Linked DNA regions of Saccharomyces cerevisiae S288C. The gene in region 2 interacts genetically with the main gene of each other region. Each region holds a gene or a part of one and is shown on either strand. Other genes may lie near its edges. The genes, in order: TAP42, BUD14 and SLU7.

Evidence for each region.
Region 1: mutations in BUD14 (region 2) and TAP42 together harm fitness more than expected from each alone (negative genetic interaction), as found in Saccharomyces cerevisiae (3 studies listed by BioGRID).
Region 3: mutations in BUD14 (region 2) and SLU7 together harm fitness more than expected from each alone (negative genetic interaction), as found in Saccharomyces cerevisiae (2 studies listed by BioGRID).

What each region holds. Positions count from the first base shown.
Region 1 is NC_001145.3:324,634-335,360, reverse strand, and holds TAP42 (Tap42p), read right to left. Parts: upstream 7,880-10,727; coding exon 6,779-7,879; downstream 1-6,778. Other genes in the region: formin-binding protein HOF1, read right to left, coding at 1-63; EIS1 (Eis1p), read left to right, coding at 618-3,149; RSF1 (Rsf1p), read right to left, coding at 3,438-4,568; FAR8 (Far8p), read left to right, coding at 5,130-6,701; YMR027W (putative methyltransferase), read right to left, coding at 8,072-9,484; PEX12 (ubiquitin-protein ligase peroxin 12), read left to right, coding at 9,926-10,727. UniProt on the Saccharomyces cerevisiae protein: Involved in negative regulation of the TOR signaling pathway in response to type of available nitrogen source. Inhibitor of PP2A phosphatase SIT4, which results in inhibition of nuclear export of MSN2, due to lack of dephosphorylation by SIT4.
Region 2 is NC_001133.9:163,041-173,767, forward strand, and holds BUD14 (protein phosphatase regulator BUD14), read right to left. Parts: upstream 5,832-10,727; coding exon 3,702-5,831; downstream 1-3,701. Other genes in the region: YAR009C (truncated gag-pol fusion protein), read right to left, coding at 1-1,147; YAR010C (gag protein), read right to left, coding at 1,504-2,826; ADE1 (phosphoribosylaminoimidazolesuccinocarboxamide synthase), read left to right, coding at 6,335-7,255; serine/threonine protein kinase KIN3, read right to left, coding at 7,356-8,663; serine/threonine protein kinase CDC15, read right to left, coding at 9,171-10,727. UniProt on the Saccharomyces cerevisiae protein: Important for bud site selection. Seems to be a regulatory subunit of the BUD14-GLC7 type-I phosphatase complex. The BUD14-GLC7 complex is necessary to regulate microtubule dynamics at the cortex and may function as a specific activator of the dynein complex.
Region 3 is NC_001136.10:618,046-628,772, reverse strand, and holds SLU7 (mRNA splicing protein SLU7), read left to right. Parts: upstream 1-9,127; coding exon 9,128-10,276; downstream 10,277-10,727. Other genes in the region: RLI1 (Fe-S cluster-binding ribosome biosynthesis protein), read left to right, coding at 239-2,065; ILT1 (Ilt1p), read left to right, coding at 2,775-3,707; VTC5 (Vtc5p), read right to left, coding at 4,052-6,661; RRP1 (Rrp1p), read left to right, coding at 10,467-10,727. UniProt on the Saccharomyces cerevisiae protein: Essential protein involved in the second catalytic step of pre-mRNA splicing. Involved in the selection of 3'-type splice sites; this selection could be done via a 3'-splice site-binding factor, PRP16.

The DNA.
Region 1 (10,727 bases), on a different chromosome or scaffold from region 2:
CAGAAGGATGTTCACACCATTGTCGTTTGGGTCCCAAAAACAAGCTTCATAACTGTAGCTCATTCTTTCACCTTTTTCTGAATATTAGTAGTACACTTTCCAAGTCTCACACGAGGCCTTTGTATTTTATATTGTTTGCTCGCCTGCTCCAAAAAAATGCTCTAGCTGGCTTTCCTCTTTCCCTCATACAGTGAATGTGTACTTTATCAAATGGACCTTTACCATTGAATATATTTCATAACTTTTTACCATTTATTGTTTACAACTTGCCCAAAGAGGAAATCATATACCTCGGCTACTCGAACGCTTCCGCTTCGGTCCGCTGTTACCCAAAAGGGAAATAGTACTTTCCGGATGGGGCAATCGGTGCTCTTCTGGAAGAAAATCGCAAACTACCGAAAGGGGCACCCTCGAGAGGGGGAAGAACTACTGCCACTCGATGGGGAGAACTCCTTGTTGCTTGCAGTATATCACCAATGTTTATTAATTCAGTGGATCCTAAAGGTTCAGCTCTTTGGCAGCTACTTTGAAAAGAAGCAAAATAGTGCACTCTGACGATTACACAGTCTTTAGTTGTTAAATAGCTTTGCATATAGGGAACCAACGCAAAATAACCAATGTCTTTAATTTCAGCTGTAGAAGATAGAGACATACATAATATAGGAAAGACTTCTGGTGGAGGGAGCAGGACTTCGTCTATAACTTCGTCGAAAAAGTCGCTGAAACACGGCTCTAAATCTTTGAGAAAACCAAAGGTATACCAGACAACAGGCGAACCATTAAGCAGGGAGGCTTTATATAAGGCGAAGTTGAAGTACGGGGTTTACCAGTCACCTGCCCAAAGTTACTCAATTGGCGTCAGCGACGCTCATGCAGCTTCCGACAAGGCAGCTAATTTAGCTCATGACAATCAAACCACGGTAGAAGCTTACAAACGTATGTTTATTGACCCTAATGCCACTAAAGCTGCATCCAAAATGGGACCCAAAGTTGTACGTAACAACTCAATAACTTCTGCTACTTCTAAAACTTCAAAAGAATCTCAGACGAAGAGAAAGTCCAAAGAATCTCCAGGGGCCGCCGCATCGAAAGCTTATTCGATGACAATGGAAACTACAAGTTTAAGCTCTCAAACAAACAGCAGGTCATATTCTATCACCTCTGCCAGCTCTGTGTTAAGCGGCGCGAGTGGCAGTTTCAACAGTACTGTTAATCCTAAACCAAAGACTTTGAATTTGGAGAAAGTCTTAGTGGGTGCTGAAAAAAAGGCAGAATCTCGTATTAAGGAAAGATGGGAACCGGAAAAGACGAACTTCCAATACGGCGTCAAGACTGATGAGCATGGTAATTTAAATCAATTCAGTTTCTCCAATGAGATGATGAATAACATTATGGCGAAAGTTGATGCTCCAAAAGCACAAGATTTACAAAAGGTCAAAAAAGTTTCTGCTGAGAAAGAAGCCAAGTCGATGAAATTTGCATTAGGAGCTGCTAATGCTGTGAAAGACATGCATCCTGGTGAGGATATCGACAAAAGTATAGCTCTTAAGGCGCAGAAGAGGGAAACCTATCTGAGCCAATTAACTTCTCAGCAAGTTTTGACTTTGGCAAGAGCCAATGTTGACAGACAATTGGATATCATTGAAAAAAGCGATATGCATAGAAAGCTATTCACTAATATGGAATACAACAAAGCTGCTGTCGCTGTCGCACAGTCTAATCATCAGAAAAAGACAGAATTCCATAACAAGATTAACATGGGTGGTGGCCTGTTTTTGTCACCAGAAGATATCACTAAAATCGCATCCGGATTGATTTCTCCTGTACTTGGTGAAGTGAGTGAGAGGGCGGAGGCGCAACGTGCTATGGATGAAGAAATTGCAGAAAGAACTGAGGCCTATAATAAATCATCAAATGAATGGGAAACGATGGAACGTTCTATCATTTCTAATGACGCCAAAGTATTGACTACTACGGCTAATAGGCATCAAACCGAAAAAAAGACCTCCCAGGAAAAGATTAAAGCCAGCTTTGATGCACTTGTGGCCAGAATGGATACCAAAGTCGCTGAAAGGGAAACTCTGCTTGAAGATACCAAGAGCAAAGAGATCGAATTTAAAAAGCAAATGCAGCAAGAGTTAAAGGACGAAAAAGCTCGTCTAGATCAAGATTTGGAGGAATGGGGTAAGAAATGTGAACAAGATATCACTGAAGCGCGCAAAGAGCAAGAAGAACTATTGAAACCTTACCATGACGATCTGGCAAATGCAGAAGCGGAACACAAAACTTTAGTGGAAGAGCGCGATGAAATTAACGCAGAAATCTCAAGATTGCAGGATGCTATAGTTGACCATAAAAGAAAGATCTCTGGTTACGGAAATGATCTTGACGCCCAGAAGAATAGAAATATCAGAGAGGATGACAAATTACTGGAACTAGGTCAAACTAAAGAAAGCTTGGAATCCCATTTGAATGATGACGTTATTATTCTTGCTAATAAGGCTAAAGAGCAGGCTGAGTTATCAACCAAGGAGGCCCGTCTGAAGCAATTGGAAGTGGATTCGTTGATTAACGAACGTAAGAGCGAGTTGAACGCGACCGAAATCGAGTTAAAGAAGGAAAAACTAAATTTGTTGGAAGCTATGAAAGATGTTGCTTCTGCACGTGGCGATGATAAGATTGACGAAGAGAAGGTTAAAAAATTGATTGGTATGACTTCTGAGGAGTATTTAACACAAAACAAATCCGTCGAGAAAAATGTTGAAGATTTACCAACCCAACTTGAAAAAATAGAGGAAGGTGATGAACTAAAGAAGGAAGAGATAGTGGGAGCCGAAACGAAAAATTCAGGTGGTGATGGGGTTCCGGTGAGTACTGCCGCAAAAGAAGCTACCGAAACTAGTTCTGCTGTTCAAACAAAGGAACCTGAAGAAAAAATTTCGATCGGAAATAAATCAAGTGGAAAAGAAGACGCTAATGATTGTAAATCAGCGGAGCATTCAAAAGAAATCTCGGTTTCACAGAAAGCAGGAAACAATAAATCATTGGGAGTTAGCCCTGATAGTTTGGAACATACATTTAGTGGCTTTTCACAGGGTTCTTCGATCGAAGACGATCAGGATGCAATTAGTAATCAAGAGAAAAAATAATTGCTAGTGAGCCTAGATAACGAAGAAATGGTGCGGCTAAGATATTGAACAGTTGAGTGGGATACTACAGAATTTTGATAATTAAGATAGTTCTCATCTGCGCTTTAATTATTCTTTTTATGTGTATAATATATGTTTATTGCCTTAATTTAAATTTAATATTTGTATTTTCTTTTTTTTGTTTAATTTGATTACTTTTGCTTATGAAATAGTATATATGGTTGTTTTACTTTTTTTTTTATTTATTTGATCTAAGTTTTATGTATGCAGATTAAAAGCAAGTTTTAATTAATTGGTATGTTGGTTTTGATTATGATTATGAGGAGTACCGCTATTGCTATTGTTTAAATTACTACTGTTGTGTTCCAGTTCATTCACGCCTGGATCAGTTTTGAAGTATACTTCATCCGGCAAAGTATCTGTTGAAATTATTGAATATTTGATGAGCCAATTTCTCATTGGTTGGTAGTCTAAAACAGAAAACGGAATGTTTAAATCGATAAGAATCTCTATCAAGTCGTTCATGGCTATTTTCGATTGAAGTTCTCGAACATTTTGCTGTTGGACCTGGTGGTTGATGAGGCTCGATCCGGTTTCAGGATGATTTCCGTTGACGTCCCCTTTTTTCTTCTTTTTCTTCTCTTTGAATTTGGCATCTGGTTCAACAAGTAAATCACGCATCAATCTAGATTGATAGTCATAGCATTCCTGGAAAAGTGGAGAATTATGATCAAAAAATTCGGTAAAATTATTTGGTGTTAGCTGGACATCGTGAACTTTACTCAAATGTCTTTGATACTTTCTAGAACCATGCTTCTCTCTACTGTTCTTATCTTTCCATATCATTTCTTGATTGCAAATTCGCTTGGTTCTACGGTCATAAAATTGGCAATATGTGTTGATAGTTAGAGGTGATTTAGCAAATAATAGTTTAGATAGATGGTTTCCCTTAATATCTCTTCTCTTGGGAATGGGAAGCTCCAAAGTTTTCATAATGTCTGATCTAAAATTTAGTGTTTCTGAAGACAGTAGCTGCATATTATTCTCTATGAAATCTACCACTTGTTGCTGTTGCCGTTGAACTGCATATTTAGAATCCTTTGTGCTATTCGATTCAATAGTTCCCAGAGGAAGCGACTCATCATGAGTAACGTTGACAGGAGATGACTTGGCAGATACGGTAGCAGAAGAAAAATCTGGCGAGAAGTTCTCTTTTTGCAAATAATCCGGTACCATATTCATATTAAGTATCCTTGGAGTTTCCATCTTGTTGGGCGCCAGATACATCTCCTCACGAGGAGTCCCACTACGGTTGGCAGGAAAATTAGGCAGTGTCGCTATATCAACCATGCCTCTATTGTCTTGAGGAGGGCCTTTAGTGGTAGCAAATTTCCCCATTTCTGGATTTAGGTCCTTCATAACTGCTTGTAGTTCTATCTCCTTGTTTTCGAATAGCTTCTCAGAAAGTAAAAAAAAGGATAATATTACAGTTTTTGATCTACAGAGTCCCTTTTTGTACCCCTCCACTCAAATCGTTCTGATACGTACGTCTCTAGGTGTCAGATGATGGAGTAACTTGCAGATGTTTTACATGCGTTTCTTTTGGTTTACGCGATAATAGTTCCTTATTAAATGTCAAGAAAGTGCTAGTTGCTTCAGTTGTTTTAAGATTGATCTCCACTCTCTGCGTCTTCACATGCGCGGGACAACTTTACAGGAAAACAAGGTTTAAGAGATAACCTATTCGGGTTTTACGTAGGATGATCTATTATAGTCTATTCAGTTTTTACTGCTGCACCATCCCCTAGGCTTCTTTGTTGGGATATGGTATAGTACTCTATTGGTCTTAACTTTGCGATCTTCCCCGTCGCGTAATCTTAGATAAAAGCCACCTAGAACGACTAAATGTGAGGAGCAAGCAACAACATTAATAAAGAAACCCAAAAGAAGTAAGTGCGTGTAGTTAGACCGGAAAACAATATGGCTATTAACCAGGCACATGTTCATCCGCATTACACGTTACCTGGTGTAATGCACTACTTGCAAACGGAGTTCACGAAGAATGAAAGAGATAGAATCACCTGGGAGCTAGAAAGGTCGGAAATGAAAGCAAGAATTGCAGAACTAGAGGGCGAAAATAGAGATTTGAAGCATCAATTGAATCAAATACAATCGAAAGCTGTTTCTCCTGAAGGTGAAAAGGAAGAAAAACATGTGCCTGATTCATTACTGCAGTCTAAGCTAGCTGTTCAAGAAAATGTGAAGGAAATAATTTATTTGTTGAAAGGCCCTAACACGGTCAATCAGTTAGAGTCATTAAATAGCAGAGAAGCGGGTTCTGAATTGCACGATTTAGAGAAACTGAACGTGAATACTCCCAAGGAAGAGGGCAGTGCGAAGACAAATGGGATGGATATTTTAAATAATGCCCTCTTGGACACCAAACCCAATCCAAAGCAAGGTCCTTCAGAGTCACCATCACCAACCAAAGTGAAATCTTTGTTTAGCACAGCCAACAAGCGTGAAAATAATGAAACAATATCCAAGATACACTCGGAATTGTCGAAAGTCGACATTATCAGCTCCTACGGGGACTGTATGGCACTTTATGATGCAGACACCAAATCGTTAGAAATACACCAAGTGGACGCAAACTTGAATTCCAAACTCTTAAAGAAAATATCTTTAGGGCAAGATAGCGACATTATGAAATTTTTCTGGGTTTCGACGTCCAAACTCCTTGTTATTGAAAAGAGTTTCCATTTGAAATTGTTCTCTATTTCTAGCGCATCTTTGATCTCAGATGTGGACCTATTACAAGACTCAGAACAGCCGTTTTCGTCTAGTGATATCATTAATATAGACTTCAAAAATAAATGGTTGTTGATAGCTAGTAAGAATAAATCTCAAATTAGAATCTGGGAATTGGACAATATAGAGGCTCCTGAGGATGTCCCAATTAACATAAAAGAAACATATGAAATAACACATGATAATGATGACGATGATAGTAATGATTCCACAAACATTCTGGATTGTATATTGGGTATAACAGAAAAATCCTTAATATTACTGTCTTCAAATCCATACCAGCTTACCATATATGATTTCGAGGGTAAGCTTCTACAAAAAATTGATTTGAAGATTGATACAATATTATCGGGTAAGCCAGAAGAAGAAGGTTACCATTTATTTTTGGATAGAAAAACTTCTAAGCTACTGATTCAGCTAAGCAATGAGAGATTATTGGTTTATTCTTTTGATAAGAAAAAAGTTGTACTGAAGGAACAATTGACTCCATCGTCAACACTACCAATACAACTCGATTTGAACGACAGCATAATCACCGTATCATATAGTAATGGAGACTTTGAGTTTAGGAATTTAGAAAACCTAAAACCATCCATCGACGAATTTGTCGTAGCAGACATCAACTTCTCGGAAAGAAAAGAGCCTGTGGTATTTTCTTCAAATCTGATTGTAGATTCTACGCCGGTGTTAATCACCGTGAATAAAAATAACGAAGTCCTTTTGCACAAGATTAAAATATAACTGATGTAGGCAGAAAAAAAAATAATATATGAATCTGTCTAATAGATACTTATGTGTACGTATATAGGTATTTTTTTCTATCCTCTATTCATGGTATTTCCGCTTCCCTTAGCATGACTTTCCTTGAACTCGTCCCACTCACGAGCTTTATAGGTTTCTCTATCTTGCCAGTCCATGTTTTCTTCATCTGGTGCTTGCTCTGGTTCTTCGCCACCTTGAAGAACGCGACCTTCTTCAAACTCTTTATCTAAAAATTCCTCCACCGACATTGTTGGTCCATATTGACCATATCCTCGCACTTTTTGTTGCAGTTGTTGCCTTTTGTCGACAAGCGTGAAGTTCCTCAAGACTTGACCTTTTTTGTCTATCAATGGCTTATTTATATTCTCTAATTTATCGGTAAAACCAGTGGAATCATCATCATTCGATTCTTTTCGTATCTGAGTACCTGATGATTTGACTTCATGTACGGAATTTTTGAGGAAATTAGAGAGCATTTCACATTCAAATAAATTCTGTTCAATGTTGTTAATCGTATCAAGACTAAAGTGATGTAACCTCATCAAATATAGTTCTCTTAGTAATTCATCATGGTCGTGGTCCTCGTCGTTGTTTTTTAATTCCAACTCCAAGCAGTGCAGTTTTGTGCTAATTTCTTTATTGCGCTGGAATAGCTCAATCTTTTCTTTTCTCTTCAACTGTGCTCCAGATAAATCTTTGTTATTTTTTGGTTGCGCGTACAATTCGCTAAGCTGAGGGTTATAACGATCCTTGAAGTTACCTAGTTTTTCACCAACCAAAGGATCTAGAAGCTTATAATCCTGCAATAGTGTCAGGAAATTAATGAAAGATTCAACGCTTTTTTTCAGGTAAATCAATTTCATAGACTGCCTTTGAGCAACATCCGAATCATTCGACTGTCGTCTTGATATCAATAATCCTAAATAGTAATCAACTGCTAGAAATTTGATGGAAGCAGTAGACACATCATCAATGGTCTCATTAGTACTGAACAATGCCAACCTGTCAAAAATTGCTGTTTTTAAGTTTAATAATTTCTTGATCGTGGAAAGTAATAATCCCTGGTACTCTGGTGAATCTTGCCTCAAAGATGTGTGTTCCAATTTTGTTGAGTATAAGCTAATAATATCGTTGAATTGTTCTGTTACTGACGCCATGTTTATGATCTCTCCTCGTTATTACTTTCTTCCTCTTCTTTCGCCATTGATTGTAATTTGTCCTTAGGAGCTTTCTTTTTTTTATCAGAAGTACATAAAATAAAAGGCACGTACTAAAAATCTATGTGCTTTTTTGGAACATTTCATAGGGAAAGTCATAAAGTAAAGTTATATAGAGAACTTATCATATTCTTATTTATGTATACCAGAGCAGAAACAAATGACTGCCCATTTACCGCTACAACACCACCAAGAACCACGGCCAGGATTTTCCTTTTCCCATTCTTGACTTAATTTCGCGTCTAGACCTTCAGGTAAAGCAACTTGTACATCGGCTTTACAGGTTCTCAAGCTCAATGATGTAATACCATTCGTAGCAAGAGGTCCGATAGCCGTTTCCCATTTAGTGGTGCGGGGCCATTTTCTGTCGCCAGTTAATTTTCTATAGTTTAGATCACCCTTAAAAATAACCAAATTGGATTTTTGCAAATCTTTGTGCAAAATGGATCCATGGTATTTGGTTTCGTTTGCGTCCAAATTCCAATAATCTAATTCCGTGGTCCAGAAAGAATCTTCGCGGAATTCTATCTTACCGCTAGAGACGAACTTTTCCATTTCACCAGCAAATAAATCAAGAGCTCTGGATTCCTTTGTCGAGGGTTCACCACTTGGGAAGAACTCACGATCTCTCAGGTCATGAACTAATATATCAAAATCTTTTAACATAACATCGCTAACCATGTATGGAATGTCTTTAGCGTGGAAAATACATTTGGTAGCCAAACCACTTTGTAACAGAAAAGCTGCCAACATCAAGTCAGCATACAATTCAAAGCCAGAATTGTCTAATACAAAATCAACACGAATTTCTCTGCTATTGGCATCGGCCCTGGCTTTGGTTAATACCTCCCATGCTTTCTCCGTGTCATTAACAACAATCTTGGACTCGGATGCAGCTCTTGCTTTCGCCCCTTGGATTGATTTAATGTCTTCTAACGTAGCGTTGGTCAATAAAGATAAATCAGTGGCATTGCCCCACAAAGAAATCTCAATAAACTCTTTAAAAAGAACTTTCAATATATCGTCAATCTCATTTCCTGGATTTTGCTTCATTTCTCTCAGCTGTGGTAACAGATTTTCATACCTTAACGCCAATTCCACGACACCATAAAACGAGGACTCAAAAGTTGACTGTTTAAGTCTGTTGAATATGTCAAATTTAGCCCATTCGCATTGGCGTTGGAAAAGAACATTTACTCTTCTATACAAGTAAACCTCCGAGAACAGCCACTCTACAGCCCCCCAATTGACTTCAGGGTGTTTCTTTAGATATTCATTGAACGAAAGCGGGACGTTGGCAATTTTGATCTCTTCTTCAGTAAAGGGTCTCAAAGGTACACGATCAATTATCTCCTGACGGAATTCCTTGAGCTCCTTTTTGATAACTTCACCTTGTTCGAACTTAGTGCCGTTACTCTTCTCCGTTTCTTGATGCTTACTTAAATCGTCTATAGCATTCTGAATGATAATGGGCCAACGGGTGCTAGCAGTGTATTCACCAAAAGTGCCCTTATCAATTGTCATAAATCTTCCAGGGATAGTCATCTCTTGTTATGTACTACCCACTACCGTAATATCCTTTTTTTCCGTTTACACAAGGACCACAATGAACCACTAAATTTTAAAGAGTTCAAATGAAGTTTTATTCTTTTAATATGAAGGGAATAGTTGTATTTCTACTTCCGGGCAGTTATACTATCACGTTGCACCTGGGGCCTCTATGTCTGAGAGGTGTGTGGGTTATACTAAGAAATCATCGATGTGGACGATTACCGTCACTGGCAATGGTAACCTCCAATTCAGTCACTGGAGAAGAGAGGTACAATTTAGTGTGGAGTCATCCTTTCGTCTCATTCAGATGCTTAAGAGCAATGCTTACCGCAGAATCACATTAGGTAGAGAAACGGTTTTGCATGAAGGCTCCAGAAGAAGCAAGGGAATAAGCAGGGAAAATAAAGCAAAGGAAAGGAAGGTAGTCGTCAAGTGATGAGCTTTTATTCAAACCTACCGTCTGCAGGACAATCTAGTCGAGGGTCTTCAACAAGCGGTCGAAATGGGGTGGGATTAGAACCATTGTATCCGACTATCTTTGAGATAATGTCATCACAAGAAATCGATTCGTTACTGCCCGCATCCATCCGTTATCTACTGGCAAATCATTTAGTGGCGAACTTCCCTAACAGGTATACTTTGCGGCTGAACAAGTACTTTTTTGAGTGGTTTCAAGCGATAAAAGGGTTTGTTGAATGGTATCATCTAAAGACATACAATTCTACGTTTATTGATCGGTTTTATGGATTGCAACTATTTAGTTCGAGGGACAGAAATCTTGCCTTAACACAATGTTTAAATCCAAAGGGCCAGAGTGAATGGCCCCAAGGTTTGCAGCTGAATCAACAGCAAAAGAGTGTTATTTTTTTGGAAAAAATTATTCTCCCCTATATCACAGCGAAGTTGGATGAAATATTAGAGAAAATATCAATGAATAATATATTCAGCAGCGATGAAACTGAAAATAAATGGCCCAAGAGAGCGTTTCTAAGAATTTATCCATTTATTAAGAAATTATTAGCGTTATCCAATTTACTCGTTAAATTATTATTTTTAACTAAAAGAACAGGGTCGGTTTCCTTGTTGCAATACTTATTCAAGATAGAGTACACAACGGTAAGACCACTATCGTCAGAACTCTCTGGTCTCAAAGAGACGAAAGGGATGGATAATAGGCTAAGGAAAACAAATATATCGTCAATTTTCGCGCTAATGCAAGGACAATTATCGATTATAC
Region 2 (10,727 bases):
ATTGGAAGTCATGGTCAGATTCTATGTTAAGATCATTGGATTCTTGGATCTCATTTGACGCAATGAACGAATGATATGAAGCAGTTAAACGGTTTAAGTCTTCATCGAAAGTGAGTGCGTCGTAATTGAATTGATCTAATCTGGATTCCTTGCCCTGAAGAATAACATAGTTAGTTGTATCTACTGTCTTCTTTAAGGATGGAAGATAGATGATATATCCATAAGAGTTTCGAGACGGATGTAGAGCGTAGCCTGGGATGCCACGAGGATGTATTTTGGAGTTAGGGTTGTGATCATTGACGATAACAGGTTGACCGAAAGGTAACAAAGTACTGATATCAAGTCCTGCCAAGCCAGCATGTTGTCTTGCAGATTTTTTGCTTTTAGGTGAAGCTAGTGAATTTCTCACAATAGTAGAAAATTCGATTGCAGAGAACCATAAATGGTTCGGTAAACCACTACATTGCAGTTGAGTACGGCAGTCATCTAATAAGGTACGGTTTAGCCGTTCAGCGACTCCATGTGCTCGGGAATCCGCTGTGGTTGTATAGCATGGAGTTATACCATTTTTTTCAAGGAATTTATGGAGAGTTCTGTTAGTATACTCAGAACCACGGTCCATTTGTATAACCAAGACACTGGCCTGAAACTGGTTTTTAATAAAAGCTAGTATCGTAGTAAAAACATCGAGGATAGAGTCCTCGCGACGGTCGTGTAATGGATAAACCCAACGCAATTTTGTTGTCTCATCAGTAAATGAGATGAAATAGGATGGTGCACTTTTTGGTAGGTTGTGAACTGGACCAAATATGTCAGTATGTAGGTATTGAAAGGGTTCGTATGAATTTTGGTATTTTAGTCGTGAACCTTTGATATGTCTGTGTTTGGTGCTTTTGCCGATTAAACAATCAGGACATTGATAGTCAATAGCACTAGACCAGTCGACATCTGATTCGTTAAAATACGTGATGGTGTTATTTTTAAGTGAGTATCGAATTTGTCTGTGCATTGGCATGCGCAAGCATTCGATGAATGAAAGGATAAGGATATTTGCGTGTACTTTCACTTGTATGGACATTATTGATGGTGGGTACGGAGATATTTGATGGAAGCAAGTACTTTTTAGATACCCAGTAAAAGTCTCCATATTTTACGATAGGTGCAAGTACAGTGCCGTCAGACCGTTCTAAGACGTTTTTGGTAAAGCATGCTGTGATATCTACTGCAGCCAATTCATTCAAACTGAGTAAGTCATAGGCTATGTTAGGAGTGTGCAATACCTTTATTGATGTTTTGGTGTTGTCCTGGAAGTGAAATTGTAGGTCACCAATAGCGTTAATTGGTATATTTCTTTTTTGAGCATCAACTACGTTTATGTCAGGATTAGATGATGCTGAGTGTATGTGATGAGCAGATCTTATAAGGGTTCGTGATGCTCCTGAATCGAGAAGGAGGTGTCCAGGGAGTTCATCATCAGAATGATTAGTATGATTTACTGTAGATTCAGTAAGTTTCTGGCCTAAGATGAAGGTCGTGCTTATTGTTCAATTGAATCGGTTCAGTAGTTGATTTACTGATGGAATCGTTGTCCGTGCTGGGAGAGTTATTAGATGTGGATACATTGTGAGCCCTGGCTGTTTTCGATTTCGAATTATTTGTTTTTTGAGGATTCCGAGCTATAACTTTGGGTTTGGTTGTATTCGTATAGCTGCGAGAATCATTCTTCTCATCACTCGGATTTCTCCTGTAATTAGGTTTACTGTTTCTCGATCCCTGTTGTTCTTCATAAATAGCATGGATATCTAAGAACAGTTCAGCGACTGTCATATTTAGATGTCGATGACGTGTGTAGCGTAAAAATTTATATTCGCCAGATAGACCTCTCATAATTAATTGGCATGCGACCTTGTTATTGATATGAATGCCATTATTGTTCAGTCTGTCGATAATGTTTGTGACTTTTGTTTCAAATGCATCTGCAGGTGTACTGCCATTATATTGCAAATTTGCCAGGGTCACAATGTCGTTTGCCTCTTGGGTATCAGATTGCATTTTTTCAATACTTTTGGAAAGAATTTTCATGATATCCGTATAATCAACGGATAGGATGTCTTTGACCCAGGTAGGTAGGAATTGAGAGGGAGCAAATATTTGAAAAGTGTTATACAAGAAGGTGAGTTCATCATCAGTGATCTGACGTACGGGTTTTCCGTTTACTGTCGGAATAATACCACCGAGATTCGAGTTTTGTAAAAATTTGATGTATGTTTTAACCCAATTTGGAAAGTCATTAGGTGAGGTTAACATTGGTGGTGGTCTGACATATTTTTTAGTGGATGTCATATCAGAGTCCGCTGAGGATGAATCAGTAAATGTATTACCTGACTCAGGTGATGGAGTGCTCAGAGGCGTTCCAACTGATGATGGATACTGCGGAAACTGTGATTGTGGCCCAGGTGGAAAGTACATAGGCGACATTTGATAAGGTGTATACGGAATCATAGATGGGTGTCCGTAAAATGACCAACCAGATGGATTGGCTTGGTTTTGGGTCATCATGCACTGCTGTGGGTACGGCCCATTCTGTGGTGAATGTGACTGAGCAGTTTGAGGAGAGGCATGATGGGGGTTCTCTGGAACAGCTGATGAAGCAGGTGTTGTTGTCTGTTGAGAGTTAGCCTTAGTGGAAGCCTTCTCACATTCTTCTGTTTTGGAAGCTGAAACGTCTAACGGATCTTGATTTGTGTGGACTTCCTTAGAAGTAACCGAAGCACAGGCGCTACCATGAGAAATGGGTGAATGTTGAGATAATTGTTGGGATTCCATTGTTGATAAAGGCTATAATATTAGGTATACAGAATATACTAGAAGTTCTCCTCGAGGATATAGGAATCCTCAAAATGGAATCTATATTTCTACATACTAATATTACGATTATTCCTCATTCCGTTTTATATGTTTATATTCATTGATCCTATTACATTATCAATCCTTGCGTTTCAGCTTCCACTAATTTAGATGACTATTTCTCATCATTTGCGTCATCTTCTAACACCGTATATGATAATATACTAGTAATGTAAATACTAGTTAGTAGATGATAGTTGATTTCTATTCCAACAGGTTCTTATTTTCAACAATGTAATTGATGGCCTTAAATCTCTACTACATCATAAAGCTTCTAAGCACTTACCATTCCTTCATAAGTCTAGTATTGTAATGAGTTGGGCACATGGCGCAGTTGGTAGCGCGCTTCCCTTGCAAGGAAGAGGTCATCGGTTCGATTCCGGTTGCGTCCAAATTTTTTTGTTAATCCAACACAATTGAATTCGTGAATAGCTGACTGTCATCAGTAATGTTCGTGGAAAGTACCTATCCATACTGTTGTATCACGACTAAGTAGTTGTCGACTACTACCTCCTCAACCCCAGTTATATCCCTATGACACATTGGAGGATGCTGAATAATGACAGAATTTTATTCCTCCTTTTCATTATCATAATCTGAAGCAAAGTTAAAAAATAGAAGAAGTAAGATAAACTTTGTAGATACGATATATAGTTGTTTGTTTTAGCTATCATATATGCTGAACTGTTACTACCTTATTTTTTCCGAAATGTTTCTAAAACAAATAAATATTCATGAATATGATGCAAGTTCGTTGGATGAGAAAAAGACCAGGCTTTATTGTAAGGACAATATCATTTACGAATAATTTCATCCAATTGTTTCATCAACACATCCATTCTGTCAAAAACTGGAGCATAGAGATGTTGAACCAAAGAATTGGGCTTCGAAGCCGGATCGGACATATTGGTATTAGACAATGCCCTTGATCCGGAAAGTGAACTATTTATGCTTGCTGATGATACCGCCCTTTGTTCATCCATATAAAAATCTTCTTCAGATGATGAGTGTAACGATAAGGTTGATTGCTTTTCTTCTTCGGGGGTACTGTGATGTTTTTCTAGCTCCTCTTTAGGTTGTTCTGCGTCAGTTTGATTTGCCATTCCTCCACTAGACCCCAAGCTGGCTTGAATTTGCCCCTCTGTGTTTTCCACGTTTGTTGTCTCTTCAATTTTCGATTTTGCATGAATATATTGTGAAATGTCCTTTATTGCTCTAGATGATGGAATACTGCTGCTTTCTTCAACTATTGGAGTGGATGGTGATTCGTTTGTCCATTCTGACGACGACGGTGAAAACTCGCCAATTGTTGAAAGGGAATTTTGAGAGTCTGATTTTGCCATACCATTCGCAAATGGCATACGAGGCGCTTCAAATACTTTTTTCAGATCGGTATCGTAATCACTGTCAACCGGTTCAGACTTTTCTTGCCCCACATACCGATTTGCATTATAATCATCTTCTCTGTCTTTACTCGATGATGTCTTAGGCTCACTTTCGTTTTTGTTGTCTTGTCTCCGAACTTTTTTCACATTTAGTGGTGTATTCAAAGATGTACTAAAGGAGACGTCGCTCACTACATCGCTCGTATCATCATCCTGGAATTTGCCAAAATTTAACTTCGCTTCAGTGTATTCGTCCCGGTGCGTTACTTTTGTTTCCTTGTCGTTATCAACATCATCGTCGTACGACTGTCCATTGCCTTCACCGCCATCATCGTTACTATCTAACGAGGTATCTTCAATTGCATCATCTATAAACCTGTCTGCATAACCGACAACATCATTGAAACTAACAGATTTGTTCCCCTTACCATATCCATTCAGTGCAGGTGTCGGAATTATACTCTCTGCATCACTTTGATTCTTGTTACCAGAGCTGATGGAATCATCTTTCGAATCGGAGGAAGCAACCGATTGAGAAGACATGTTTTCATTTTTCCAGCAATTCAATCGAGCTAGTCTTTCTGGAAAGGTTTCTAGAATTTCCGCTGGCGCAAACCCGATTTTACCATCAGTGATCCTCTTAACCAGCCACCAATAGGCATCCTGGTCATTCAAAAGTATACAAGGTTCGTCTTGCCCTAATTGACAATGTGAAGAATCATGGCCATTGAACGCATATAAAGCATATAGTTTATCAGGGTCCAGTTCTCTTGGCGGCGATAAGGGTTGGTAATCGTCGTTTTCCTCCTCCAAATCGTCTTTCTCCCCTTGAAACCCTGAATCTTGAAATTTTCTGTCAAAGTCATCGTCATCAGAGTAGTTTTCCTCTTCATCCTCGTCCTCCGAGATGGCGTATTTCAAGCCATCACTAAAATCGTCAACGTCAGGGTTCATTGTATTATTCACTGAAAAATGCACCTCATCCTTATCGGCGCTATCCACGGAATCAGTTTCGATCTCTTGTAGCCTTCTTTCCAAATTGTCCTCAAATTCAGAATCCGAATAATCATATGAGTCGGGCAATTCCGAAGAATTTTCTTTGTAATGTCGCTGATCCCTTTTACTGTTGCTATGCATATGTTTTTCCACGTTCTCCTCCTCTAACTCTTTGTCATCATCTCTATTTCGCAGAACATCATGGCCCTTTTCTGCCGCATTACTCAGTATATTAAGTTTCGAATTGAAGGGCGAACTCTTATTCGAAGTCGGAGTCACCACAACACTTCCGCCCATACTCTCCGAATCCTCGTTTCCTAAAGTAAGTTTACTTCCACTTGTAGGCCTATTATTAATGATATCTGAATAATCCTCTATTAGGGTTGGATCATTCAGTAGCGCGTGCGATTGAAAGGAGTCCATGCCCGACGTCGACGTGATTAGCGAAGGCGCGTAACCATTGTCATGTCTAGCAGCTATAGAACTAACCTCCTTGACACCACTTGCGGAAGTCTCATCAACATGCTCTTCCTTATTACTCATTCTCTTACCAAGCAGAGAATGTTATCTAAAAACTACGTGTATTTCACCTCTTTCTCGACTTGAACACGTCCAACTCCTTAAGTACTACCACAGCCAGGAAAGAATGGATCCAGTTCTACACGATAGCAAAGCAGAAAACACAACCAGCGTACCCCTGTAGAAGCTTCTTTGTTTACAGCACTTGATCCATGTAGCCATACTCGAAATTTCAACTCATCTGAAACTTTTCCTGAAGGTTGAAAAAGAATGCCATAAGGGTCACCCGAAGCTTATTCACGAGTCAGTCTGACTCTTGCGAGAGATGAGGATGTAATAATACTAATCTCGAAGATGCCATCTAATACATATAGACATACATATATATATATATACATTCTATATATTCTTACCCAGATTCTTTGAGGTAAGACGGTTGGGTTTTATCTTTTGCAGTTGGTACTATTAAGAACAATCGAATCATAAGCATTGCTTACAAAGAATACACATACGAAATATTAACGATAATGTCAATTACGAAGACTGAACTGGACGGTATATTGCCATTGGTGGCCAGAGGTAAAGTTAGAGACATATATGAGGTAGACGCTGGTACGTTGCTGTTTGTTGCTACGGATCGTATCTCTGCATATGACGTTATTATGGAAAACAGCATTCCTGAAAAGGGGATCCTATTGACCAAACTGTCAGAGTTCTGGTTCAAGTTCCTGTCCAACGATGTTCGTAATCATTTGGTCGACATCGCCCCAGGTAAGACTATTTTCGATTATCTACCTGCAAAATTGAGCGAACCAAAGTACAAAACGCAACTAGAAGACCGCTCTCTATTGGTTCACAAACATAAACTAATTCCATTGGAAGTAATTGTCAGAGGCTACATCACCGGATCTGCTTGGAAAGAGTACGTAAAAACAGGTACTGTGCATGGTTTGAAACAACCTCAAGGACTTAAAGAATCTCAAGAGTTCCCAGAACCAATCTTCACCCCATCGACCAAGGCTGAACAAGGTGAACATGACGAAAACATCTCTCCTGCCCAGGCCGCTGAGCTGGTGGGTGAAGATTTGTCACGTAGAGTGGCAGAACTGGCTGTAAAACTGTACTCCAAGTGCAAAGATTATGCTAAGGAGAAGGGCATCATCATCGCAGACACTAAATTCGAATTCGGTATTGACGAAAAGACCAATGAAATTATTCTAGTGGACGAGGTGCTAACGCCAGACTCCTCTAGATTCTGGAACGGTGCCTCTTATAAGGTAGGAGAATCCCAAGATTCTTACGATAAGCAATTTTTAAGAGACTGGCTTACTGCTAATAAGTTGAACGGTGTTAACGGCGTCAAAATGCCCCAAGACATTGTCGACAGGACAAGGGCCAAATATATAGAGGCTTATGAAACATTGACAGGGTCTAAATGGTCTCACTAACGTGATTTACATATACTACAAGTCGCCAGTGTAACTCCTCACTGAATATGATTCATACATACCCGTATGTATTAATGTATAAATGTTCTCAGAGCAAATTTTATCGATATCTTGTTTGCCAGTGGTATGCAGGTTTGGCAAATTTTTTACCATAATATCCGTTTATAGATTCTGGAACCTTACCAACTTTCTTACCGCTAATTACTTCCCTGGCTCGCTCCTCCACTGCCTGGGTAAATTGTTCCTTCAACTGACTCAGTTCTCTTTCGTATTCAATAGCTTGCTTCTCGAGGATTTTTTCAATGTTTGTCAGCTCATTTTCATAGTCCAGTAACTTCCTTTCAAATCTCTCTAATTGCAACGACTTTCTTGCAGTTCGTATCTGAATATCTTGCAGTAATTCAAAAGTGGAAGGCCTGGTTCTTAAGTTCACATCTATCATTGAATGTATTATGGCATTAAGCCCTCTAGAGTAATACTCAGGGACGGTGTCACATTTCCCGTTTTTAATCTTAGTTTGTAGCTCGAGATAATTTTTTGCCTGAAATGGGGGGTGCAACGAACACATCTCAAAAATAACACAACCTAGTGACCAGATGTCGGATAGTGGGGAGTATGGTTGGTCCATCAACACTTCAGGCGACATGTAATATGGTGTACCGACGTATGTTGTGGCAAATTGAATACTAGTTTCCAGAGATTTGGCTAACCCAAAATCACCTAACTTTACCACAACTTGACTATAGTCCATAGGGCTCCCCCTTTTCCCTGAATTCACTCTATGGTCTCTGTAATAATTACTATTCACTTCCTCGTGACCGTCTACTTGTTCATTAATATTGTAATCGCTATCATCATAGCTTAAGAATATATTTCCTGGTTTCAGATCACGATGGATAACGATGTTTTTGCCTTTTACCGGTGGTTTCATCCGGTCATATATTGTGGTCAAAGTTGGCAATTCAACACCATAATGACATTTATAGAGCGCAGTCAATAATTGGGCCAGGATACCCCACACAATTTTTTCTGGTATATATTTATGCTCCTGTTTGTAGTGCTTAATCATCTGGGATAAATCACCCCTGGAACAATATTCCATATAAAGGTATAACACTTCTTTTTGTTCATCGAAGTCCCAGTTATAAAATTCTACAATATTTTCATGCTTCAACTGCGATAGAATGCTACATTCAGCGATCAGCTGTTGTCTCTCTTTGCTATTCATATGGCCATATTTGATATCCTTTCTAACCAAAAGTTTCTTGGTAGGTATATGGATGACTTTTCGTACAGACCCAAATGAACCTCTCCCAATTTCTTCGAGAACTTGGTATTCTGACCTTGGTGGGTGTCCCTGCTGCTGCTGAGGACTACGGTATTCTTGGAAAAACTGTCGTCTATGCATACTCACACAGAGAATTGATTCAATTATCAAATAGCACTCTCATTGAAATTAGTATTGTGAATCTTGCTCTTTTCATGTTATATGATTTGATATTCTTTTGAAAAGTCGCTTTTATTTACGTTTAACCTAATTAGGAAACGTAATGAAAAAATTCAGAAACCTTAAAAAAAAAACTTGGCTGTAACCTATCGGAAGACTGTGCCACTGCAATCATGTCAGATATCGTATTTCAGATTTATTGATCTATAGCTAGAAACATTTAACAAAATGCACTTTGAGTCGTTCATACATTTAATCCCCAATTGAAAAAAAAAAGAAAAGAAAAAAAGCATATATATGTATATGCTTTTTTATCATTACTGGCCTCTTTAAATTCAAAAACTTTTCTGATCTCTTTTCCAAACAGATGCGTTTTCAGTATTGGAAGGTTCACAATTCTATATATAGTGTTAATGTAATGCTGTATTATTTCTCTATATATGTATGTATGCACATGCAATTCCTACATTATGTTTGAAATGTTGTAATGGGGACGGAAAAGCCGTCACTTTTATCTTTGGAGGATCGCAAATTACTACGCTCATCTTTTGTTGGAGAACTACCAATTGCTGCAGTGACGCTTGAAACTTTTTGCAGGCTTCCTTTTTTTGATAATGAACGGATATCCTCACATAGCTGACAGATCAAAACTGAGTCCCCCCCAACTTGATTTGAATTCCTTTTTGGGACATCCTTGTTCCAGTTGTTGTTTAAAAACTCCGTTATTTGTACTAAAATGGCACGAAGTTTGAAAACAGTGGCCTTATTACGACGATTTGGTTCGGTTTGCTTTATAGGATCCGGCTGTCCTGTGTAGTCATATAGCTTCAATAACGATTTTGAGAATATTAGCTTTATGAATTTCAATAGATCGATTTGAATAAGTAAACTGTTGAAATAGGTATCAAAGAAAGAAACAATCTTTTCATAAAAGTTCGGGTGAAATATGATATTAATTGTAAGGTTTTCAAAACCGGGCAATGAGCATATCTTCGTGAAAATGCTAATTAGTTTACTGAGGTTAACGTCATCGTCATTCAATGCATAAAACAGGTCAACTAATTGATCAATCGGTAATTCAATAGCAGCGTCATTGTTGACCTTTATGAGGAAAACACTATGAGACTCTGATGAGCCCACTGTAGGAGCCACATCATCATTTACATTGCGTAACGTAAAATGCAAGCAGTTCAGTATGATCTCCAGTCCACTTATGGAGGTGTTATTCTTTTTTCTGATGAAATTCATAGCTGTAGAAAATAAAGAAGCACTCATTTGGTCCATATCCAAACTCATTTCAACGCATATAGCAGTGATTTGTTTCCAAATGAAAGCTGCTGTCTTTGCGTCGTCGATAAAGGGAATGATGGTATCAATATTCCGGATAAAAGCAAAAAAAGCATCGTTGTCAAGCAGATCATTTAAAAAAGTGCTGTTTATATGTACTGTAAGGTAACAAAGCTTGGTGAAGTACTTTAAAACAGATAAATCTTTGATTTGGGCCATGTCAACAAAAAAAGATGTTAGCCAGGTAAAGAAACCCTCCGGTAATTCAATTAGTAGTCTTGATTTTGAAGATATGGTCAGATGGGGAAAGTTTGAAATGCTCTTGTGTCGCATTGGAGAAGAGGGACGCGTTGCCATCAAAGAATGAACAGGGGACCTTGATGGAGACTGTACCGAATTCACTGGTGAGTTCCTCGTGGGTGAGGAGGATAACGGTAGAGAGGAAGAAGAAGGAATAGCGGACTTGTGTATTTTATCGTCATTCGTGGTTATCATATAGTTTATTGATTTGAAGACTACGTAAGTAATTTGAGGACTGATTAAAATTTTCTTTTTTAGCTTAGAGTCAATTAAAGAGGGCAAAATTTTCTCAAAAGACCATGGTGCATATGACGATAGCTTTAGTAGTATGGATTGGGCTCTTCTTTCATGGATGTTATTCAGAAGGAGTGATATATCGAGGTGTTTGAAACACCAGCGACACCAGAAGGCTGTGGATGTTAAATCGTAGAACCTATA
Region 3 (10,727 bases), on a different chromosome or scaffold from region 2:
TGTTACTCGTGTGCATCGAACCAGATTTCTAGCCGGGTAGTTTTGCAACTGAAAAAATTTTCTATTTTTTTTCTCAATCGCATCGCTCGCTAGCAAAGTGAAAGTGAAAAAAAAAAAATGTAAAACTGGGCATTAACCTTTATTGTTTCTGTATTCTTAGATCTTCATTGTGATCTGTTTCAGCGCGAATTCCACCTAGCCTTCTGCAAAAGTTCTTAAGAAAACACGACAGACCATAATGAGTGATAAAAACAGTCGTATCGCTATCGTTAGCGCTGATAAATGTAAACCAAAAAAGTGTCGTCAAGAGTGTAAACGTTCGTGTCCCGTTGTGAAAACTGGTAAATTATGTATTGAAGTCACTCCAACTTCAAAAATCGCATTCATTTCCGAAATCTTGTGTATTGGTTGTGGTATTTGCGTTAAGAAATGTCCATTTGATGCTATTCAAATTATCAATTTGCCAACTAATTTAGAAGCCCATGTAACTCACCGTTACTCTGCCAATAGTTTCAAACTGCACAGATTGCCAACACCAAGACCGGGTCAAGTCCTTGGTTTAGTCGGTACCAACGGTATTGGTAAGTCTACCGCCTTGAAAATCTTAGCCGGTAAACAAAAACCTAATTTAGGTCGTTTTGATGATCCTCCTGAATGGCAGGAAATTATTAAATATTTCCGTGGTTCTGAATTACAAAATTACTTCACCAAGATGCTGGAAGATGATATCAAGGCTATAATCAAACCTCAATATGTTGATAACATTCCTCGTGCTATTAAAGGTCCGGTTCAAAAAGTTGGCGAACTTTTGAAATTGAGAATGGAAAAAAGTCCTGAAGATGTGAAACGCTACATCAAAATTTTACAGTTGGAAAACGTTTTGAAAAGAGATATTGAAAAGTTATCTGGTGGTGAACTGCAAAGATTTGCCATTGGTATGTCATGTGTTCAAGAGGCTGATGTTTATATGTTCGATGAACCTTCATCTTATTTGGATGTTAAGCAACGTTTGAATGCCGCTCAAATTATTAGATCTTTACTAGCTCCAACTAAATACGTTATTTGTGTTGAGCACGATTTGTCAGTTTTGGATTATCTTTCCGATTTCGTTTGTATCATATATGGTGTTCCATCTGTTTACGGTGTTGTTACATTACCAGCCTCTGTCAGAGAAGGTATCAACATATTCTTGGACGGTCATATTCCTGCTGAAAACCTGAGATTCAGAACTGAAGCTTTACAATTTAGAATAGCTGATGCTACCGAAGACTTGCAGAATGACTCTGCTAGTCGCGCCTTCTCTTACCCAAGTTTGAAGAAAACTCAAGGTGATTTTGTTTTGAATGTTGAAGAAGGTGAATTCTCCGATTCCGAAATCCTTGTTATGATGGGTGAAAACGGTACCGGTAAGACCACTTTGATCAAATTACTAGCTGGTGCTTTGAAGCCAGATGAAGGACAAGATATTCCAAAATTGAATGTTTCTATGAAACCACAAAAAATTGCACCAAAGTTCCCAGGTACTGTCAGACAATTGTTTTTCAAGAAAATTAGAGGACAATTCCTAAATCCACAGTTTCAGACTGATGTCGTTAAACCTTTAAGGATTGACGATATTATTGATCAAGAAGTCCAACATTTGTCTGGTGGTGAATTACAAAGAGTCGCCATCGTCTTGGCATTGGGTATCCCAGCAGACATATACTTGATTGATGAGCCATCTGCCTACTTAGATTCCGAACAACGTATTATCTGTTCTAAAGTTATCAGAAGATTCATCTTACATAATAAGAAAACTGCGTTTATTGTCGAGCACGATTTCATCATGGCTACTTATCTTGCTGATAAGGTCATTGTTTTTGAAGGTATTCCTTCCAAGAATGCTCACGCAAGAGCCCCTGAATCTTTGTTGACTGGTTGTAACAGATTTTTGAAGAATTTGAATGTCACCTTCAGAAGGGATCCAAACTCCTTCAGACCAAGAATTAATAAGCTAGATTCCCAAATGGATAAAGAACAAAAATCATCAGGAAACTACTTTTTCTTGGATAACACCGGTATTTAAGCATCTTGGGATTCGGAGAACCAAGAGGACGATTGTTTTATTTTTGGGTTTAGAAATGTGGAGAAATAATTAAGAGTTATAATGTTTTTGCAAAACAAAATGAGTATTATATTACATTGAGTTCCTTCCCAAGCATCGGGTTGTTTATTTCTAGATATACGCCAACTAATACATTTCTAACTTCCCACCTTCATTACATCATAACCTGAAAGTGAACAACCTCCTCTTCGGTGATCCGTACTCCAGTTTATTTCATTTTTCTGTAAAGCAACTACACTATATTTATTCTCTATTTATTTTATATACCTATTGTATTTTAATTAATCGTTATTTTGTCCGCACCTTCTTCGTAATCGAATTTACCTTGTAAACGAGTCGTCATGATAAGCATTTGCTGCATTACTGAACGTTTATCTTAGCATGACATTAAAGTCCGTTTGTCTAAAATATCACCCAATTATTTCCGCGGTGTGAGCGCCAGATAAGGTGCTTCGGGTAATATGAGAACGCCGTTTCTTGATAGCATTTTTCAATGACTAGATAGGTAGATTACCTCTGTATCACACTTCTCGTACCAAACGAAACTCATATAAATAATGCTTTCCTTCTGGTGCCTTCTACTTTCCGCTGATCTCTATTTTCAAATTAACCGCTGAAATATAAACTGTGGAATACTATAACATAACATAGATTTAAGAATAAGGTATTCATGATCTCTGAAAAGGCTGCTACCGCTTTAGCTACTATAGCAACAGTTTGCTGGTGTGTCCAGCTAATTCCGCAAATAATATATAATTGGAAAAAAAAGGACTGTACGGGGCTGCCACCACTGATGATGTTCCTCTGGGTTGTTTCCGGAATTCCATTTGCCATATATTTCTGTGTTAGTAAAGGTAATGTCATTTTACAAGTTCAACCACACCTTTTTATGTTCTTCTGTTCTATAAGTTTCGTCCAATCGTGTTATTATCCACCAATCAGTATGGCGAGATCCAAAATAGTAATGATTGTAGCTGCTATTATTGCGGCTGATGTTGGCATGGAAGTTGGCTTTATATTATGGCTGAGGCCCCTTTACGAGAAGGGTGTTAAATGGCCCGATCTGATTTTTGGTATTTCTGCATCTGTTTTGTTAGCTGTCGGACTGCTTCCACCTTACTTTGAACTAGCCAAAAGGAAAGGTCGTGTTATTGGCATCAACTTTGCCTTCTTATTCATCGATTCATTAGGTGCTTGGCTATCTATCATCAGTGTTATCCTAGGTAATATGGATATTATGGGTATTATATTATACTCAATAGTTGCTGGAATGGAGTTAGGAATTTTCGCGTCTCATTTCATATGGTGGTGTAGGTTTAGATTCCTAGCTAAAGGCAATACTTTTGACGAAGAAAGTGGCCAAGCTCAAAAGGAAGAACCCGATGAAAAAATCGAACAAGATATTAGCAAGAGTGACCGAAATGTTACTAACTATAACCTGGATAACTGTTCAATCCCCGACGATGCTTCGAGCTTTGCAGACGATTTTAATATATACGATAGTACTGATGGGGGGACGTTATCAAGAGCCCAAACATTGCATGCTGTCCATGGAGTTGTGGTTAGAACAGATCCTGATCGTTATTCGAGGCTAAGTGTGTAACGAATCTGAGTCCTTTTTAGTTAGCACGTTTTCATCTCTTTTTGATAGCACGCTTAATAATATTCACCACTAGCGCAGTAATATGGCATCTGCCGCAGGTGTAAAGGTTTTCACTTCGCTTATATTCACAATACTATGCGTTCAAACACGGCCATCAGAAAAGATCAAAATAAGGATTATTAATTAAAAACTTAAACAGAAATTCAGTTTGCAACACCCTTCGCAATGGCGAAGTTTCCAAAAACAAAATCTCCAAACAAGATTAACATTCTTCTTATGTAACCACATGATATGCATATTTTATATAGACTGTACACATGAAAAACTTTTATCGTCCAAAATAATTAAAAGAAAATTTCAATCATACCATAGCACACTGTTCCAGTAACTGAGAAAAACATTGTGAAGCAACCAACATAATGCCAGATTGGCGCCAAAGTGAACCGACTAAATAACAACAACAGGCACGCACAGATCAAAATAAGGGAAACCAGTAAGGAAATGATAATAATGGCTATGAGAATATTTTGAATTTCTAAATCTATCTCATTATTACTTTGCCCGCGAAACAAGGATAAAACGATTCCCAGACATACACTTGCCATAATGCAAGATGTTAGCAGTGCAGACAAGTATAAAAATGTAACAACTTCGTCATGCCTATATTCGTAGATAGATTGTGAGTCCTCTATGTCTTGCTGTTGATACTGTAAGTACCTTTGAACGTCATCATATGACGCTGAAGTTGATTGTGAACCAAATGACGCAACAGAACCATAGTTAGTTGATGAACAATGCGGATGCTTAGAGTTTTGAAACAAATCTGGCGATGTTTTCTTGTCATGGCGAATCAAGTTTCGTAACTTCTCACAAAAATCATATGTGCGGTTGATGAAATTCCGGCTAAACAAAATAAACCCATAATCAGGCGGAGAATTTCTCAAAAGTAAGGATTCTTCGTTATCTGTTGTACTCCTGCTTCCATTAGTATCAATGTAAAAAGCATTGTCTAAATTATCCTCTTCTTGTTCATCAAATTCATTCCAATACCTAATAGGTTTCTTTTTAGTTTCATTATCCGATTGCTTTGATTTTTTGTGAATTCGAACTCTTCTGCCGCTGTCAACACTACCTTGTGAGTTGTTTATCGGCCCAGTCAGGTCAAACTCTTCCTCTAGACGATCCTTGCCCAGCTGGAAAAATTCATCAGGTGATAGCGAATCATCGGAATTTAATTTATATTGATCTCTTAGTAAAAGTTGAAATAAATCATTTTGCAATTCATTTGAGTGTACTAATTCTAAACATATTTTCCATGTGGTTAAGTCTGGTGGTATTAAGCTGCATTGAAACTCATTTGTAACAACTGATTTCATTAACTGTTTAAACTTATTGTCTTCATTAATAGCCGTCTGTGAAAGACCACTGGATCGACTAAGCTTTTTAATTTCTAAAATTGGAAAGGGTAATGTAGATACATTTCCAATAGTGATAGATTCATCCAAAGCTATCAAGTATATATCTCCATTGTCTGCTGATATGAATCTTGTTCTTTTAAAATCTAGCTTTGGTTCAATGGTTTTTAATCGATGGGACTGAATCCACTCCAAAGCGATCTTACTGATTGGCGATGGATCCAGTGAGTTTATGAGAGCGCTAATATTTTTTGTGTCGTTGCCACTCCTCATGGCCGAAAGAATATTCTTTACATCCCTTAGAAGCAGATCATTTGTGACAACATGATTTCTTAAGCCGCCCACGTGGCACATTACTATACAAGTATCCTCAGCAGTAGAGCTGACTATCATGTTTGGGTGCTGATTTATATTATCATCAGTAAGTAGTAAAGGACTGCCTTCGTTCCCGACAGTATCTAGTATACTAATAGAAACGTACTTCTCATTGGATTGTACAGCAGAGGGTAATATGTTCTTCTGTTTAGATAGGGATAAGGTATGTTGTAAGTCATTGAATGACTTTGCTGATCTTATAGATTTGTTGCCCGCAGAATTAATATTATCTGTAGTGTCTAAAATCTCCTTTGAAGTGGATATGATGCTATCGTCAATTATCCTAAAACCAATATTCAATAGCATGAACTTCAGTCCCTCTATGTCCTCGGACGATAATAAAAACCTTCCTAGATTCTCTGCTTTATCTATGAGGGCAGTATCGAATTCTAGCGAAGAATCAATCATTTTTGAAGTTTTCTTGTTTGAAAGTAGCGGAATTGACCTTGGAGATGCTGGCAAGGAAGAATTGTTGGCTTCTGGACTTGAACTTGTATGGGCAGATTCATCGGAGCGGTTTAGGGATCTTTGCTCCACTGCTGGCTCAGTTGCATCTTCAAGTTTATTTTCCAAATCATGTAAAACATCAACAATTAGCGAAACTTCTAAAAGATATGGATCTAAATCAAGCTTCATAAATGATATGCCTTCGTGTCCATTTCGTAAACTTTCAGAGTTTCTGATCGACGTAACATACTCACTTGCAGTCAATGGATTTTCACTGTCTTGAGGAAATTCATTTAGTAATTTTTTGAATAACTTTCTCAAGGCAATCCTTTGTATTATCAAAAACCTTGACAGTAGTTGTAGTTCAAAGTTACAATCGTCTACATGAGCGTTGATGATTTTCAGTTTACGAAGGTTGAAACGGTTTCTGGAAGTTTTGTTTAAGCCCTTTGAAAAATCGATTATTGATGATTCCACAGAAAGAATACGAGTGGAAATTTCCTTTATTTTCAAAGAAACAAATAAATTAACATTTTGAAATTCCTGGTCAAAGGCTACTGAACATTGATTCAACAACTTCTCCATGCCCGAATCATTTGGATTGTCATAATCATAAGCCGTTACTTTTTTTATGGCTACTTTTAACTTCTCATAGTTAATATTGTAGAATTTCCATTCAGGGATTGATTTATTCAATATGCGATCTTCAAATTTCATGATTGTACAACCCTTCGTATCTATCCTTACCTAGGGCTGAGATGGAGATATACAAAAAAAAAGCAAAGGTAAAAAGCAAGTATTAAACTCTATCTCTATTATATTCAAGAGGGCAACGGACGAACTATTAATTTATGAATTTTAAAAGTCCTTTGATAGCGTTCACGATAGGGCTTTTTGATCTTGCCTTTGTTTATCTTTTTATCTGTTTTGTTTTTTTTTTTTTTTTTTTCTTGGTTCAGTTTTGACTCTTCCACACACCCATTTCGCTAGCGTAGAACAAGGGGAGACACAAACTTTCTTTTCCTTGCAAGTTAATAACACAACACCCGTCCTCCTGCACTGAATTTACACAGAAGTTAAGAACCGCCTCTGCTTTTCTGGTATTATTTTGCAGCCTTGCCTAAAAAAAGTGTGGTAATTTTTGAGAATAATATATTACTGTGTTTTTCGAAACGAAAGTTCTGAATATTGGCTTGGTCGCTTCCTGATATCTGGAAACTTGTTTAATGTTTTTAATTATCAGTCTTCAAAGCGTCCTGATATGACTTGCCACGTTTCCATCCATTCTATATGTAGTTTAAATACAATGAGATAAAGGGTGCCTGCATGGAACTTTCCATTCGAAAAAAGAGATCATAAACCTTATCTGTCAAATAAAAGCCAATCTATTTGATTAGGTAAAAAAAGTGATGTCAGACCAAAGTGCCCCTCTCCTGCAATGATCATCGATTACGTACGGGTGTAATGATCACGACAGTAAAGTGAGCAAGGTAACTACTATCCCTAAGTGCGGCGTCATTGTAAGTCTACGACGTAGCATATTCAGTTTACTGTACAAGAAAAGTTTTCTCTCTGTAACAAGAGGAAATTGGTTAGCTTTCTACGCTTACTTCGTTTGGTACGATCAGTAAAGGTGAATAAATTAAGATCCACGCCTTCATATGGCAGGATCCACGATATTCCTTGCAATACCCCTGGATAATTCAAAAACCAAATGTTACACGGTATACTTGAAAATCGATACCATATTAGGAACACACCGGCCAAAGGTTGATAATACTTGGTATGAGATAAAACCCGAGCTCAAGGTTTAATGTTAAAATTTTTTGTATATATATATATATAGTAATGGGCTCGGTTGCAAATTTTTATGACTATCTTGAAACTAGTTGAAATTGCAAGAACCGTCACTCTATGGAGTACATGAACAACTAAAAAATAGCTTGAAGATACTTGCCACTCCATGCCATTTCTAGAAAGGGGTCTCTTGAGAAATGTGTGTTAAAATAACGGTTATATAGTTGGAAAGAATATTACTATTTTGCGATTAAGGGATGCCGTATGGCAGGCAAGGAAGTATTTGATCAAGAATACCGATTAATGAAGCATGTTTGCCATTATCGTTGAACCTTGGTATTTCTCAGGTTTCCTTATCGATACGATAGGAATGAGAATCAACTAACATTTATCGACTACAATTCATTATTACTACTATATTATCAAATGCTCTGCAAGGAGATGACCAAAAAGAAATGAGAAACAGTCTTCATCTCAAAATATAGGCAATTACCAGGTATACGATATTTCCTCAAAATGAAAATGCCTAAAATACGACAGAAAAACTTAGGGTGACGACTTTTTAACTAATCACTGAATGCAGCCGAAGCAAGTAATTATTTCCCTCGTTGCTACTCATTGAGGCCGCTCCATATGGAGATTTGAAAAAGGTTCTATTGATTCTTTAACTGGTGTCCATCCCCATGAGAACGTTTTAGTTAATTAACTGCTGGTAAAATAAGCGATAGTTGGTATTTTCAAAGGAATATGAGAAATGCGGGAATACTAGTTAGTAGACTATATTAAAACTTTGTTTCAACAGAATAATATATAGATACAACAGGGCAGTTGTGAAGATTGGCAAATAAATCTTTAAAATAACTTCTTTGTCCGGGCTAAGCAGGATACCACACTTTAAATGATGATTACCACCCCACAAGAGAAGTCGGTCTGAATTTATTAATTCTGGTATCAGCAAATCCCGTATTTCAATAACTTCAAGAAATCTTGTTCCTCGTGGCCCAATGGTCACGGCGTCTGGCTACGAACCAGAAGATTCCAGGTTCAAGTCCTGGCGGGGAAGATTTTTTATACATTTTTCTAGACTTTTGATTTTTATACCTAGTGACAATTAAAATATAGAAAAGAGTTGGTAACCTCAGCTGCCGTACTCTTCAATTTAATTGGAGAAGTTGTCGAGTTTTTTTAAAGTACATTTCATTGGAACAACTAGTGACTAGTTCGAACGCGGAAAGACAATAATAGTACCCATAACGATAACTCCTTCGTTATCTATTGAATAGCTTGCCTTTCAAGTAAATCAATAATCAAGTCTGCGTATATCATTTATCGAGCACTTCTGAAAAAGATACCAGTTACACTGAAATACAACGATCGGATTACATAATGAATAATAACAGCAGAAACAACGAAAATCGAAGCACTATTAACAGAAATAAAAGGCAACTACAACAAGCAAAAGAAAAAAATGAAAATATTCATATCCCCAGGTATATTAGAAATCAACCATGGTACTATAAGGATACCCCCAAAGAACAAGAAGGGAAGAAGCCCGGCAATGATGATACGAGCACTGCAGAAGGAGGAGAAAAAAGCGACTACTTGGTGCATCATAGGCAAAAAGCAAAAGGGGGTGCTTTAGATATTGACAATAATTCAGAACCAAAAATTGGTATGGGTATAAAGGATGAGTTCAAACTAATCAGACCCCAGAAGATGTCCGTCCGAGATTCTCATTCGCTGTCATTTTGTAGGAATTGTGGGGAAGCAGGGCATAAGGAGAAAGACTGCATGGAAAAACCTCGTAAGATGCAGAAGCTTGTTCCCGATTTAAATTCACAAAAAAATAATGGCACAGTTTTAGTACGAGCTACTGATGATGACTGGGACTCCAGAAAAGATAGATGGTACGGTTACTCAGGGAAAGAATACAATGAACTGATAAGTAAGTGGGAGCGTGATAAAAGAAATAAAATAAAAGGAAAAGACAAATCCCAAACTGATGAAACACTATGGGATACAGATGAAGAGATAGAACTAATGAAGTTAGAACTTTACAAGGATTCCGTAGGTTCATTGAAGAAAGATGATGCTGATAATTCTCAGTTGTATAGGACATCAACGAGATTGAGAGAAGATAAGGCTGCTTACTTGAACGACATAAATTCAACGGAGAGTAATTATGATCCTAAATCAAGATTGTACAAAACTGAAACACTGGGCGCAGTTGATGAAAAATCAAAAATGTTCCGCAGACATTTGACAGGTGAAGGCCTAAAATTAAACGAATTGAACCAGTTTGCTAGATCTCACGCTAAGGAAATGGGTATACGTGATGAAATTGAGGATAAGGAAAAAGTACAACATGTTTTAGTCGCCAATCCTACTAAATATGAATATCTGAAGAAAAAACGGGAACAAGAAGAAACCAAGCAGCCCAAGATTGTCAGCATTGGAGATCTGGAAGCTAGGAAAGTAGATGGTACAAAGCAATCTGAGGAACAACGGAACCACTTAAAAGATTTATATGGTTAAGTTATATCATTTGAATTTCCAATATCCTAGTCACGGAGCACGAGAGGTAAAGAATTTAGAAAAAAAAATGCGATGAGCTGAAAAAAATTGTCAAATATAAACTACATTCTTAAGTATACGTATATATCTTGCGCATTCACGGCATAATACACTAAATAGACACTTAAAAAATCGAGTGAGAACATTCACAATGGAGACCTCCAACTTTGTTAAACAATTATCGTCGAACAACAGAAAAACCAGGGTAAATGCACTCGAAGCGTTAAAGAAATATCTAACCGCTAAACAGTTCAAGGAGAACAAACAAATAGAATTCAATAAACTTTGGAAGGGTCTTTACTATGCAATGTGGTTCAGTGACCGTCCTAGACCTCAGCAACGTTTAGCCAATGAATTAGGTGAATTGCATGGATTATATTTTGATCCTAAGGACAATAGCACTGCAGATGAG